Linked DNA regions of Macaca mulatta. The protein of the gene in region 1 purifies or fractionates together with the protein of each later gene. This does not show direct contact. Links are inferred from orthologs where the notes say so. Each region holds a gene or a part of one and is shown in the gene's direction. Other genes may lie near its edges. The genes, in order: IRAK1, PELI2 and IRAK3.

The links.
Region 2: the proteins of IRAK1 (region 1) and PELI2 purify together in Homo sapiens (affinity purification with western blotting; 7 studies listed by BioGRID and IntAct, with this or other methods). This does not show direct contact. The link is inferred for Macaca mulatta from reciprocal best matches to the Homo sapiens genes IRAK1 and PELI2.
Region 3: the proteins of IRAK1 (region 1) and IRAK3 purify together in Homo sapiens (co-immunoprecipitation; 3 studies listed by BioGRID and IntAct, with this or other methods). This does not show direct contact. The link is inferred for Macaca mulatta from reciprocal best matches to the Homo sapiens genes IRAK1 and IRAK3.

The regions. Positions count from the first base shown.
Region 1 is NC_133426.1:160,264,812-160,268,464, reverse strand, and holds part of IRAK1 (interleukin-1 receptor-associated kinase 1), read left to right. Parts: coding exon 1-94; intron 95-395; coding exon 396-603; intron 604-942; coding exon 943-1,008; exon of another isoform or gene 1,009-1,819; coding exon of another isoform or gene 1,820-2,089; intron 2,090-2,340; coding exon of another isoform or gene 2,341-3,653. Other genes in the region: uncharacterized protein LOC144338623, read left to right, coding at 1,820-2,089, 2,341-3,653.
Region 2 is NC_133412.1:129,443,508-129,446,288, forward strand, and holds part of PELI2 (E3 ubiquitin-protein ligase pellino homolog 2), read left to right. Parts: coding exon 1-419; 3' UTR 420-2,781. UniProt on the Homo sapiens protein: E3 ubiquitin ligase catalyzing the covalent attachment of ubiquitin moieties onto substrate proteins. Involved in the TLR and IL-1 signaling pathways via interaction with the complex containing IRAK kinases and TRAF6.
Region 3 is NC_133416.1:73,373,130-73,376,782, forward strand, and holds part of IRAK3 (interleukin-1 receptor-associated kinase 3), read left to right. Parts: intron 1-1,433; coding exon 1,434-1,548; intron 1,549-3,000; coding exon 3,001-3,119; intron 3,120-3,653. UniProt on the Homo sapiens protein: Putative inactive protein kinase which regulates signaling downstream of immune receptors including IL1R and Toll-like receptors.

The DNA.
Region 1 (3,653 bases):
GGCCTCAGCGACTGGACATCCTTCTGGGTACAGCCCGGGCAATTCAGTTTCTACATCAGGACAGCCCCAGCCTCATCCATGGAGACATCAAGAGGTGAGGAGGGGCCCATGAGAACTGCAGGGGCAGGGCCTGCAGCAAGGGGGGCCCCGTCCCGTCAATGTGGGGATCAGGCATGGCCTAGGACCTCAACACCCGGTATGGCACAGGTGTGGAAACAGGCCAAGGATGGGCCCCACTGATGAGCAGAGGCCCCCAGGCGGCTGGAGTACTCAGGGCAGTGCCAGCACTTTCTGTGGGCAAGGCACTGGGCTGGCAGCCTCAAGTCCAGCCTTACCTAAGCCGGGCAGGTGTAGGAGCTAGGACTGGGCTGACGCCACTGTCTTCCCTCCCCAAGTTCCAATGTCCTTCTGGATGAGAGGCTGACACCCAAGCTGGGAGACTTTGGCCTGGCCCGGTTCAGCCGCTTTGCCGGGTCCAGCCCCAGCCAGAGCAGCACGGTGGCCCGGACGCGGACAGTGCGGGGCACTCTGGCCTACCTGCCCGAGGAGTACATCAAGACAGGAAGGCTGGCTGTGGACACGGACACCTTCAGCTTTGGGGTGGTGAGCCACTGACCCCTCTGCTGGCTCAGAGGAGGAGAAGCCACAGGCAGGCAGAGGTGGGGGCCGCAGAGTGCACTGCGGGCCAGGGGCCATCTGCCAGGACCCCAAGAGGCTGCAGCTCCAGGGCCCCCCTCCCTCCGAGGCTCTCCTCCTCACCCTGCACCTAACTGTGTGTTTGTAATTTGTCTTCAAATGGGCCCTCCAAGTCGCCTGAGCTTCAGTCCCATAACATCTGGCTCTGCCTTTGTCCACACCTTTGTCAGGCCCGATCCATGTCCACACCAGAGGCCTCTTCCCTGCCAAGGCCACTGCCATGCTCTCCCTCTTCCCTCTCTCCAGGTGGTGCTCGAGACCCTGGCTGCTCAGAGGGCTGTGAAGACGCACGGTGCCAGGATCAAGTATCTGGTGAGCCCCCTGAGGCGGGGCCAGGCGGGGACACACAGCTGCTGGCAGCCAGCAGGCACAGCCCCAGCGGTGGGGATGATTGGGGCGCAGTGCCCATGGATGCCTCTGTTGCCACAGTGGCCGCATTTGTGAAAGTTGGCAGGGCCTCAAACAACTCCGTTTACCTTGCTGAGAACAAACCTGTTTGCCTGCAGACACTATGAGCCTTGTACAGACCCCATCTGGGCTGGGGGCAGGGGGAGGGGCGGTCCCAGGGCGCTGGGTAGAGAAGCAGGACCCGAGGAACCTCCTGGGCCCTAGCAGGCTGCAGCTGAGCTCTCCACGCCGTGCAGGGCAGCCTGAGCTGCCTCATGCTCTTACTCCACTCTGTCTGCCTCACCATGGACTGTGGTGAGGCCAGGAGACTGGAGACCTGGGTTTTAGCCCCAGCCTGATAGTGGCCTTCCAGCAAATTCCTGCTCCCCTCTGGGCCTGTTTTCCCACATGCAAAACAGACTTCACAGAATGTGCTCAGCCAGTAATTGCTTCACTGCTTCTCCTCCTGTTTGGGGCTGTTCCTGTGTGCTGTGGGGTCTCCATCAGGATTCAGCCCCGCTGAGAACCCAGGAGCTGGGCTCAAGCCCTCCTTCCTTTCCCCTCCGCATCCATCCATCCATGCATCCTGCTGAAGAAGCGCAGCAGGCTCCTTGGGGGTCCTTGGACTTTCCCACTTGCTCCCCACCCTGCAGCCAAAGTGCTCTTTTCAAAGGCCCCTTTGCATTTTCTCTGCTCTTGGGGTGAAGGCCCAATCCCTTATGTGGTTGACCCCACAATGCCCCAGGTCCCCAGGACTCGGGGCGCTCCCTGCCACCTGCTTCACAGCCTTAGTATGTGCTGTTCCCTCTGCGAGGAAAGCCACCGCCCACCCTGGCTGTTCCTCCTGGTCTGTCTGATCTCAGAACTGGAGATGGCCTCTGGTCCTGTTTCCACCCCCAGGGTGCCTCTCTCTGTCAGGAGCCTGTGGGGTGCCTCTCTGTGGAGCCTCTCTCTGTGGGGTGCCTCTCTGTGGAGCCTCTCTCTGTGGGGTGCCTCTCTCTGTGGGGTGCCTCTCTCTGTGGGGTGCCTCTCTCTGTGGAACCTCTCTCTGTGGAACCTCTCTCTGTGGAGCCTCTCTCTGTGGAGCCTCTCTCTGTGGAGCCTCTCTCTGTGGAGCCTCTCTCTGTGGAGCCTCTCTCTGTGGAGCCTCTCTCTGTGGAGCCTCTCTCTGTGGGGTGCCTCTCTCTGTGGGGTGCCTCTCTCTGTGGAGCCTCTCTCTGTGGGGTGCCTCTCTCTGTGGAGCCTCTCTCTGTGGAGCCTCTCTCTGTGGAGCCTCTCTCTGTGGGGTGCCTCTCTCTGTGGGGTACCTCTCTCTGTGGAGCCTCTCTCTGTGGGGTGCCTCTCTCTGTGGAGCCTCTCTCTGTGGAGCCTCTCTCTGTGGAGCCTCTCTCTGTGGAGCCTCTCTCTGTGGAGCCTCTCTCTGTGGAGCCTCTCTCTGTGGGGTGCCTCTCTCTGTGGGGTGCCTCTCTCTGTGGGGTGCCTCTCTCTGTGGGGTGCCTCTCTCTGTGGAGCCTCTCTCTGTGGGGCCTCTCTCTGTGGGGCCTCTCTCTGTGGAGCCTCTCTCTGTGGAGCCTCTCTCTGTGGGGTACCTCTCTCTGTGGAACCTCTCTCTGTGGAGCCTCTCTCTGTGGAGCCTCTCTCTGTGGAGCCTCTCTCTGTGGGGTACCTCTCTCTGTGGAACCTCTCTCTGTGGAGCCTCTCTCTGTGGAACCTCTCTCTGTGGGGCCTCTCTCTGTGGAGCCTCTCTCTGTGGAGCCTCTCTCTGTGGGGTACCTCTCTCTGTGGAACCTCTCTCTGTGGAGCCTCTCTCTGTGGAGCCTCTCTCTGTGGGGTACCTCTCTCTGTGGAACCTCTCTCTGTGGAGCCTCTCTCTGTGGAGCCTCTCTCTGTGGGGTACCTCTCTCTGTGGGGTACCTCTCTCTGTGGGGTACCTCTCTCTGTGGAGCCTCTCTCTGTGGAGCCTCTCTCTGTGGAGCCTCTCTCTGTGGGGTACCTCTCTCTGTGGAGTACCTCTCTCTGTGGAACCTCTCTCTGTGGAGCCTCTCTCTGTGGGGTACCTCTCTCTGTGGGGTACCTCTCTCTGTGGAACCTCTCTCTGTGGAGCCTCTCTCTGTGGGGTACCTCTCTCTGTGGGGTACCTCTCTCTGTGGGGTACCTCTCTCTGTGGGGTACCTCTCTCTGTGGGGTACCTCTCTCTGTGGGGTACCTCTCTCTGTGGGGTACCTCTCTCTGTGGGGTACCTCTCTCTGTGGGGTACCTCTCTCTGTGGAGCCTCTCTCTGTGGAGCCTCTCTCTGTGGAGCCTCTCTCTGTGGGGTACCTCTCTCTGTGGGGTACCTCTCTCTGTGGGGTACCTCTCTCTGTGGGGTACCTCTCTCTGTGGGGTACCTCTCTCTGTGGGGTACCTCTCTCTGTGGGGTACCTCTCTCTGTGGGGTACCTCTCTCTGTGGGGTACCTCTCTCTGTGGAGCCTCTCTCTGTGGAGCCTCTCTCTGTGGAGCCTCTCTCTGTGGGGTACCTCTCTCTGTGGGGTACCTCTCTCTGTGGGGTACCTCTCTCTGTGGGGTACCT
Region 2 (2,781 bases), on another chromosome or scaffold:
CGCAGTGTCCCGTGGGGCTCAACACCCTGGCCTTCCCCAGCATCAACAGGAAAGAGGTGGTGGAGGAGAAGCAGCCCTGGGCATATCTCAGTTGTGGCCATGTGCATGGGTACCACAACTGGGGCCATCGGAGTGACACGGAGGCCAACGAGAGGGAGTGTCCCATGTGCAGGACTGTGGGCCCCTATGTGCCTCTCTGGCTTGGCTGTGAGGCAGGATTTTATGTAGACGCAGGACCGCCAACTCATGCTTTCACTCCCTGTGGACACGTGTGCTCGGAGAAGTCTGCAAAATATTGGTCTCAGATCCCATTGCCTCATGGAACTCATGCATTTCACGCTGCTTGCCCTTTCTGTGCTACGCAGCTGGTTGGGGAGCAAAACTGCATCAAATTAATTTTCCAAGGTCCAATTGACTGACACCCTTGACAGCCAACTACGACTTTATTAACAGGTTACTGTGAAGATTTTGCCACTAACTCTAGATTTTACCTTTTTGTAATGCTGTTTATTAGGGGAGGGTGACGGGGCTGGAAATAAAGAGAGGGGACACACAGTGATGAAACATGGCAGGAGTGTAACAGATACCAGTGGTGTGTTGCATGCCCAGAACAGCAGCATCGTCATTGAAGTCTGCTTGATTAAACCATAATATCTTTGTAATAATTGGATTTAAAATGCCATGCTTCTATTTTTAACCTTGGGTTTTTAACCAAGTTTTGTTTTTGTTTTTGTTTTTGTTTTGTAATCTTGGACAAGACTTTAAATCATATTTTACAGATGTAGAAGAAAATGTATTCAAAAGTGTGGGCTCATGAAGTTCCCTTCAGTGCAGTGTGGTGTAGGTGTGACGCGAAGGGCACACAGTGTCTAGAAATACTTGATCATGGCTCCAACCTGACCAGACAGCAGAGGGGCGGCTCTGTACAGTGTGACTGGTGGACAGATGGCCTTAGACACAGGTGGTTTTGAAATCTGGGGCTTCTTTCTGATTTATTTTTCTGACTTGTTGGGGGAGAGAATATTCATATCTCATGGGCTTTTTTTTTTTTTTAACTTCAGTGGAATTTACTTTAGATACTCATTCATCAAATACATGGCACTTCACAGACAATTTTCCGTAACTTTTTAGCCTGTCTTTTGTTATTTCTGCCTAATATGATTTGCCCCTGATACTCATCTTGCATGGCCAGAACTGTTCGGTTGATTACAATACATCAGCTCTTAAAAACTCACTAACTGAGGATAATTACAGTAGTAGACATGGTCTGGGTGCTATACTACCATGTTTGTTTGCTGACTGAATTAAGATTTAAGAATGATTAAAAATAAGCTTTTACTTTTTAAAACCACTTGGGGTTTCATAAAGCTTGTGGGGTTTTTTTGTGGTTTCTTTTTCCCTTTGTTAAGAAAGCCAAATTCTATGAGTCTGAAAGCAAACCAATCACAATGATACAGGCATCTTTGCGCACTCCCTTTTTGCCATCTGTCACCTTCCCTTGCAGCTTAAGGAGCCCAATAAGTTTTGGAAATGTTTGCAAATCAAATTAAATTTAAGTGGGATCATTAGATATACACAACACCAAGTGGTACGTCTGCAGAGATAATTCAAAATTCCTGATTTTGAGAGAACAAATGAGTGTTTGCTGAGGATTAATTAAATCAGAATTTCATATGAGCTCCACCATTCCTGTTACTTTCATTTCATTTTGGTTAATAATTCTTGGATGCTTAGCACCAGTCGTATCACTGCTCCCAGAAGGCAAAGATCCTTTAGGACATGAGACTAGTAGAAGCTGGCTGAGATAAAATAAAACCCTGCCACATGGAGTAAGTATTTATTTAAACTAATGTTCTCTTAATTTGACCATTGCAGATTTGGGTGACTTTTTTTAACCTTTGTACATATACGTAATTTATATGATTCTAATGTACTATATCCATACTTGAATTGGTTTTTTCGTATTTTGCCTACTGGCAAATATTTTGCCTATTTTCAGCCATTCTAACCTATTTTGAGTACCCTTTTCCTTAAAGTGATATGATATATTACTCTTGATTGCTGCTGCTTAATTTGACATAATATGTTTAAAGTTCAGCCTCTCAGTTTTAATATAGCTTTATTTTTCAATGGAGATCGTTGTTTAGGATGAGACATTTTTGGTTTTGGTTTTTTTGGATAAATTTTAAGTGATGTGAAAATCTGACAACAGTCCTCTTATGGATAGCTTGCTCTATTCTGTATAGCTTACTCTACCTGCAGACAGAAAATGAAAGAAAAAATGGACTTGCCTAGAATAATATATTTAATGCCTTTTGATTTAGCCAGAGCCTCTGATGATTAGCTTTCGCTGATAGAGTTTGTCTTTTCAGCCTATAATTCTTTGGGCCCCAAAGAATGATAAAGGAGGCACTCTTTCTCTTTTCTTGCTGTACGCCTAGAAAGTGGTTGAAGGATTCTTGATGCCCTAAAACCATCTTGTAAGCTAAATGGTCTTGCATCCAGAAAGGCCAGATTTTACCTACCAAGAAAAAATATATTTTTCCAGAGAGTTAGGTATATCATAATTTTCCATTTCAAGTCCTGTTTATGAATCTAGTCATTCTGCAACGTGACATATCCCCCAAGTTGGACACATCCCATAGTTGGGCATATGTCTAACTAAAAGTTTCTGACTTTTAGTAAATTCAGCTTAAATGTAAGTTGAAATTTGGGTAATAATTTCCAAGCTCTTGGAAGGGGTAACAGTGAACCACCCTCCATGGGCTCCACATCTTTTCC
Region 3 (3,653 bases), on another chromosome or scaffold:
TCTTGTATCACAGAAGACTTTGATATATTTAAAAATAAAAACTTCTCTGTGTGTGTACATGTATACACACACATACACACACACACACACACACACATACACACACATGCTTCCTTCCTTGAAGTAAGAAGAAGAAAAGGAATCAGAACCCCCCTCCCCCACCACATATGCACAATATATATAGGATTGTGTGTGTTTATAGGAAAATTTTGCTACTGCAGAAATGAATAATAGGCTTTTATAAATAGAATATTTTTTACAGATTTATTTTAATATCCCCAAGCCTGCCCAGAACATAGTAGGTATCCCATAAGTAATTTTTGAATTAAACTGAGCTCACAGTATGTGTGAATTTCACATTTTATGTTTGCTAGTTGTTACCTGGGCTCATAGTGATAGCACACACTATTGAGGAATATAGTTTTTGTTAATAAGCTAATAAATGATTATTAGGGGAAGAAAAGCCTGAGAAATGTATGCTACACTGACATAGAAATCTGTGATTTAAAATCAGTGATATACTCTCAACATCAAACATTACTAGTCATATGGATTTAGACAACAATGCAAGCTTTGTGAAGACACTGACATCTCGTTTCAGCTGTGTAACTGGTATTTAGCACAGTCCCTGACATAGTAGTGCTCCATAAGTGGATGAATGAAAATGGTATTTATTCTTACGTTTTGGTGGCTTAAACTTATATACTTAAATAAATCAAACTAACAATTTTAGTTGTACTGTTTTTACTTAATAAGTCATGTTGTCTTTCATATTGATAAAAATAAGTTAATATTGAATAGTGCTATCTTTTGTAAAGTTTCCAATATTACAAATCTTTAAAACTCTTTATTTTTTGAAAATTTGTGCCTTATATTTGGATGTTTTATTTATATTTACATGATTACAGTCAATCAAAAACAGTAACTAGTATTTGCTAGAATTTTTGTTTTTTTTTTTTTTTTTTTTTGAGGTGGAGTCTCACTCTTGTCACCCAGGCTGGAGTGCAGTGACATGATCTAGGTTCACTGCAACCTCTGCCTCCCAGTTCAAGCAATTCTCCTGCCTCAGCCTTCTGAGTAGCTGGAATAACCAGGTGCTCACCACCAGGCCCGGCTAATTTTTGTGTTTTTAGTAGAAATAGGATTTCACCATGTTGGCCAGGCAGGTCTCAAACTCCTGACCTCAAGTGATCTGCCCACCTCGGCCTCCCAAATTGCTGGGATTACAGGTGTGAGCCACCGCGCCCTGCCGTTAGAACTCTTTAGACCAGTTTGGAAAGCAAATCTGTGTCCTGTGCCCAATGTGTCCAGCCAAATTTATATTCTGCTTTAAGCCTATTCTCCATCCCACCTTACTACTCCCACACCGGAGTGTTGTTCATTTCCTGTCTGAATACGCAATTTGATGGCTTTAAAACATCTTTTGTTTCAAGGTTTCACCATCCAAACATACTCGAGTTGACTGCATATTTTACAGAGACTGAGAAGTTCTGTCTGGTTTATCCATACATGAGAAATGGAACACTTTTTGACAGATTGCAGTGTGTAGTAAGTTCTTTCTATTATTCTGTCTGATCCTCTGACCCCCTGAAGTCCTGGGAGAGCTGCTGAAACCATCTGGGAGAGCTGGGAGGCAAGATGTGTTTGCATGAGGGGAAAGCGAAGGATGGGTTTCCCAAGGAAGCAGTACTTCTTGGATTAATTTCTTACTTTTAGGAGGCTGAGCAAATACCTGAGTTAATGTGTTTTGTGCAACATTCTGGCAACCATATTGGGTTCTCACTCATTATATAGTAAGAACCCAGCAAATCTTTTGGCAACCATGTTATATTATATTTGATTCTGTACCTCCAGTGAGTTGCCATCAACTACTCTTATTCCTTAGATAATTTTAATTTATATAACTTTATATAAAGTATCCTTCAATACAAAGGATTGCCATAACAGTGACACAGACTCTAAAGAGAAAGAGGCAGCCTGGACAACAACATAGCCAGATCTCGCCTCTACTAAAAAAATGAATAGGCTGGGCACGGTGGCTCATGCCTGTAATACCAGCACTTTGGGAGGGCAAGATGGGTGGAGCATGAGGTCAGGAATTCGGGACTAGCCTGACCAACATGGTGAAACCCCATCTCCATTAAAAATACAGAAATTAGCTGGGCGTGGTAGTGCGCACCTGTAATCCCAGCTACTCAGGAGGCTAAGGCAGGAGAATCACTTGAACCCAGGAGGCAGAGGTTGCAGCGAGCCGAGATTGTGCCATTGCACTCCAGCCTGGAGATTGTACCATAGCACTCCAGCCTGGGCGACAAAGCAAGACTCTGCCTCAAATAAGTAAGTAAATAAATTGCTGGCCATGGTGGCACATGCCTGTCCCATCTACTTGAGAGGCAGAGGCAGGACAATTGCTTGAGCCCAGGGACATGGAGACTGTAGTGAGCTATGATTGTGCCACTGTACTCCAGCCTGGGTGACATGGAGTGAGACCTTGTCTCAAAAAAAAAAAAAGAAAGAAAAGAGAGAGAGAGAGACAGAGAGAGGGAGAGAGAGAGAAGGAGGTTGAATAAATGCCATGATCCCTCATTAGATGTTTTTGGAGGTTAAGTTTAAAAATTGATTCCAAATAGGTTAAGTTTCAGTGAGGATGAAAATAAAAGCAGATTGTCTCAATTTCTCATACTATTATACCACAAGTAACTTAAAAATCTTATTTAATGAACTTTTAAGTAGTGTTACCTTACTAGCTATGTTTTGATTAAGCTAATATTAAGAAGTATGGAGTATTTTCACTGTCTATAAAGAGGCCTAGAACTGTCATCAGTAGCAAAAGGAAACCCATCTGGAATTAAAAATAAGTTCTGGAAAACCAAAACGTTGATTCACCCACCTCACCCCACCTTGCTATCTGCTTCTATTCTGGTGTATGTCTGCATAAGGAATACATAGGTAGTTTTTACTCAGAAAGTGCAACCAAACCAATTGCTGTTGTCGTTTTAGGGTGACACAGCCCCACTCCCTTGGCACGTTCGAATCAGTATATTAATAGGAATATCTAAAGCCATTCACTACCTGCACAACGTTCAACCATGCTCGGTCATCTGTGGCAGTATATCAAGGTAAATGATTCCAGAGCTTTTGGTTATTCCTGAAAGCTTCTTTTATCCTCACACGTGAGTCATACTTCACACTATTCTCTGCTGTAGTTCTCCTGGTATGTGTGTGTGTGTGTGTGTGTGTGTGTGTGTGAAGAACTGTCATCTAGGTATTTAAAAATCCTATATTTTTATTAATGAAAATGTGTCTACCAAATTTAAAAAGCTATATGTATGTTGCCAAAAAGAGGGTTTGCATTATCTTTGGGAATTATTAATGAACAATGTAGGATAGACAATTCTGTGTACAGATGGTCCCAATTTATGATGATTCAATGAAATGATTTTTTTGGACTTTACAATGGCACAAAAGTGATACGTGTTAAGTAGAAATCATACTTTGAGTATCCCCATACAGTCATTCTGTTTTTCAGTTTCAGTACAGTATTCAATTTATTCTATGAGGTAGTTAACACTTTATTATAAACTAGCCTTTGCACTAGATGATTTTGCCCAACTGTAGGCTAATATAATTGTTCTGAGCACATTTAACATAGA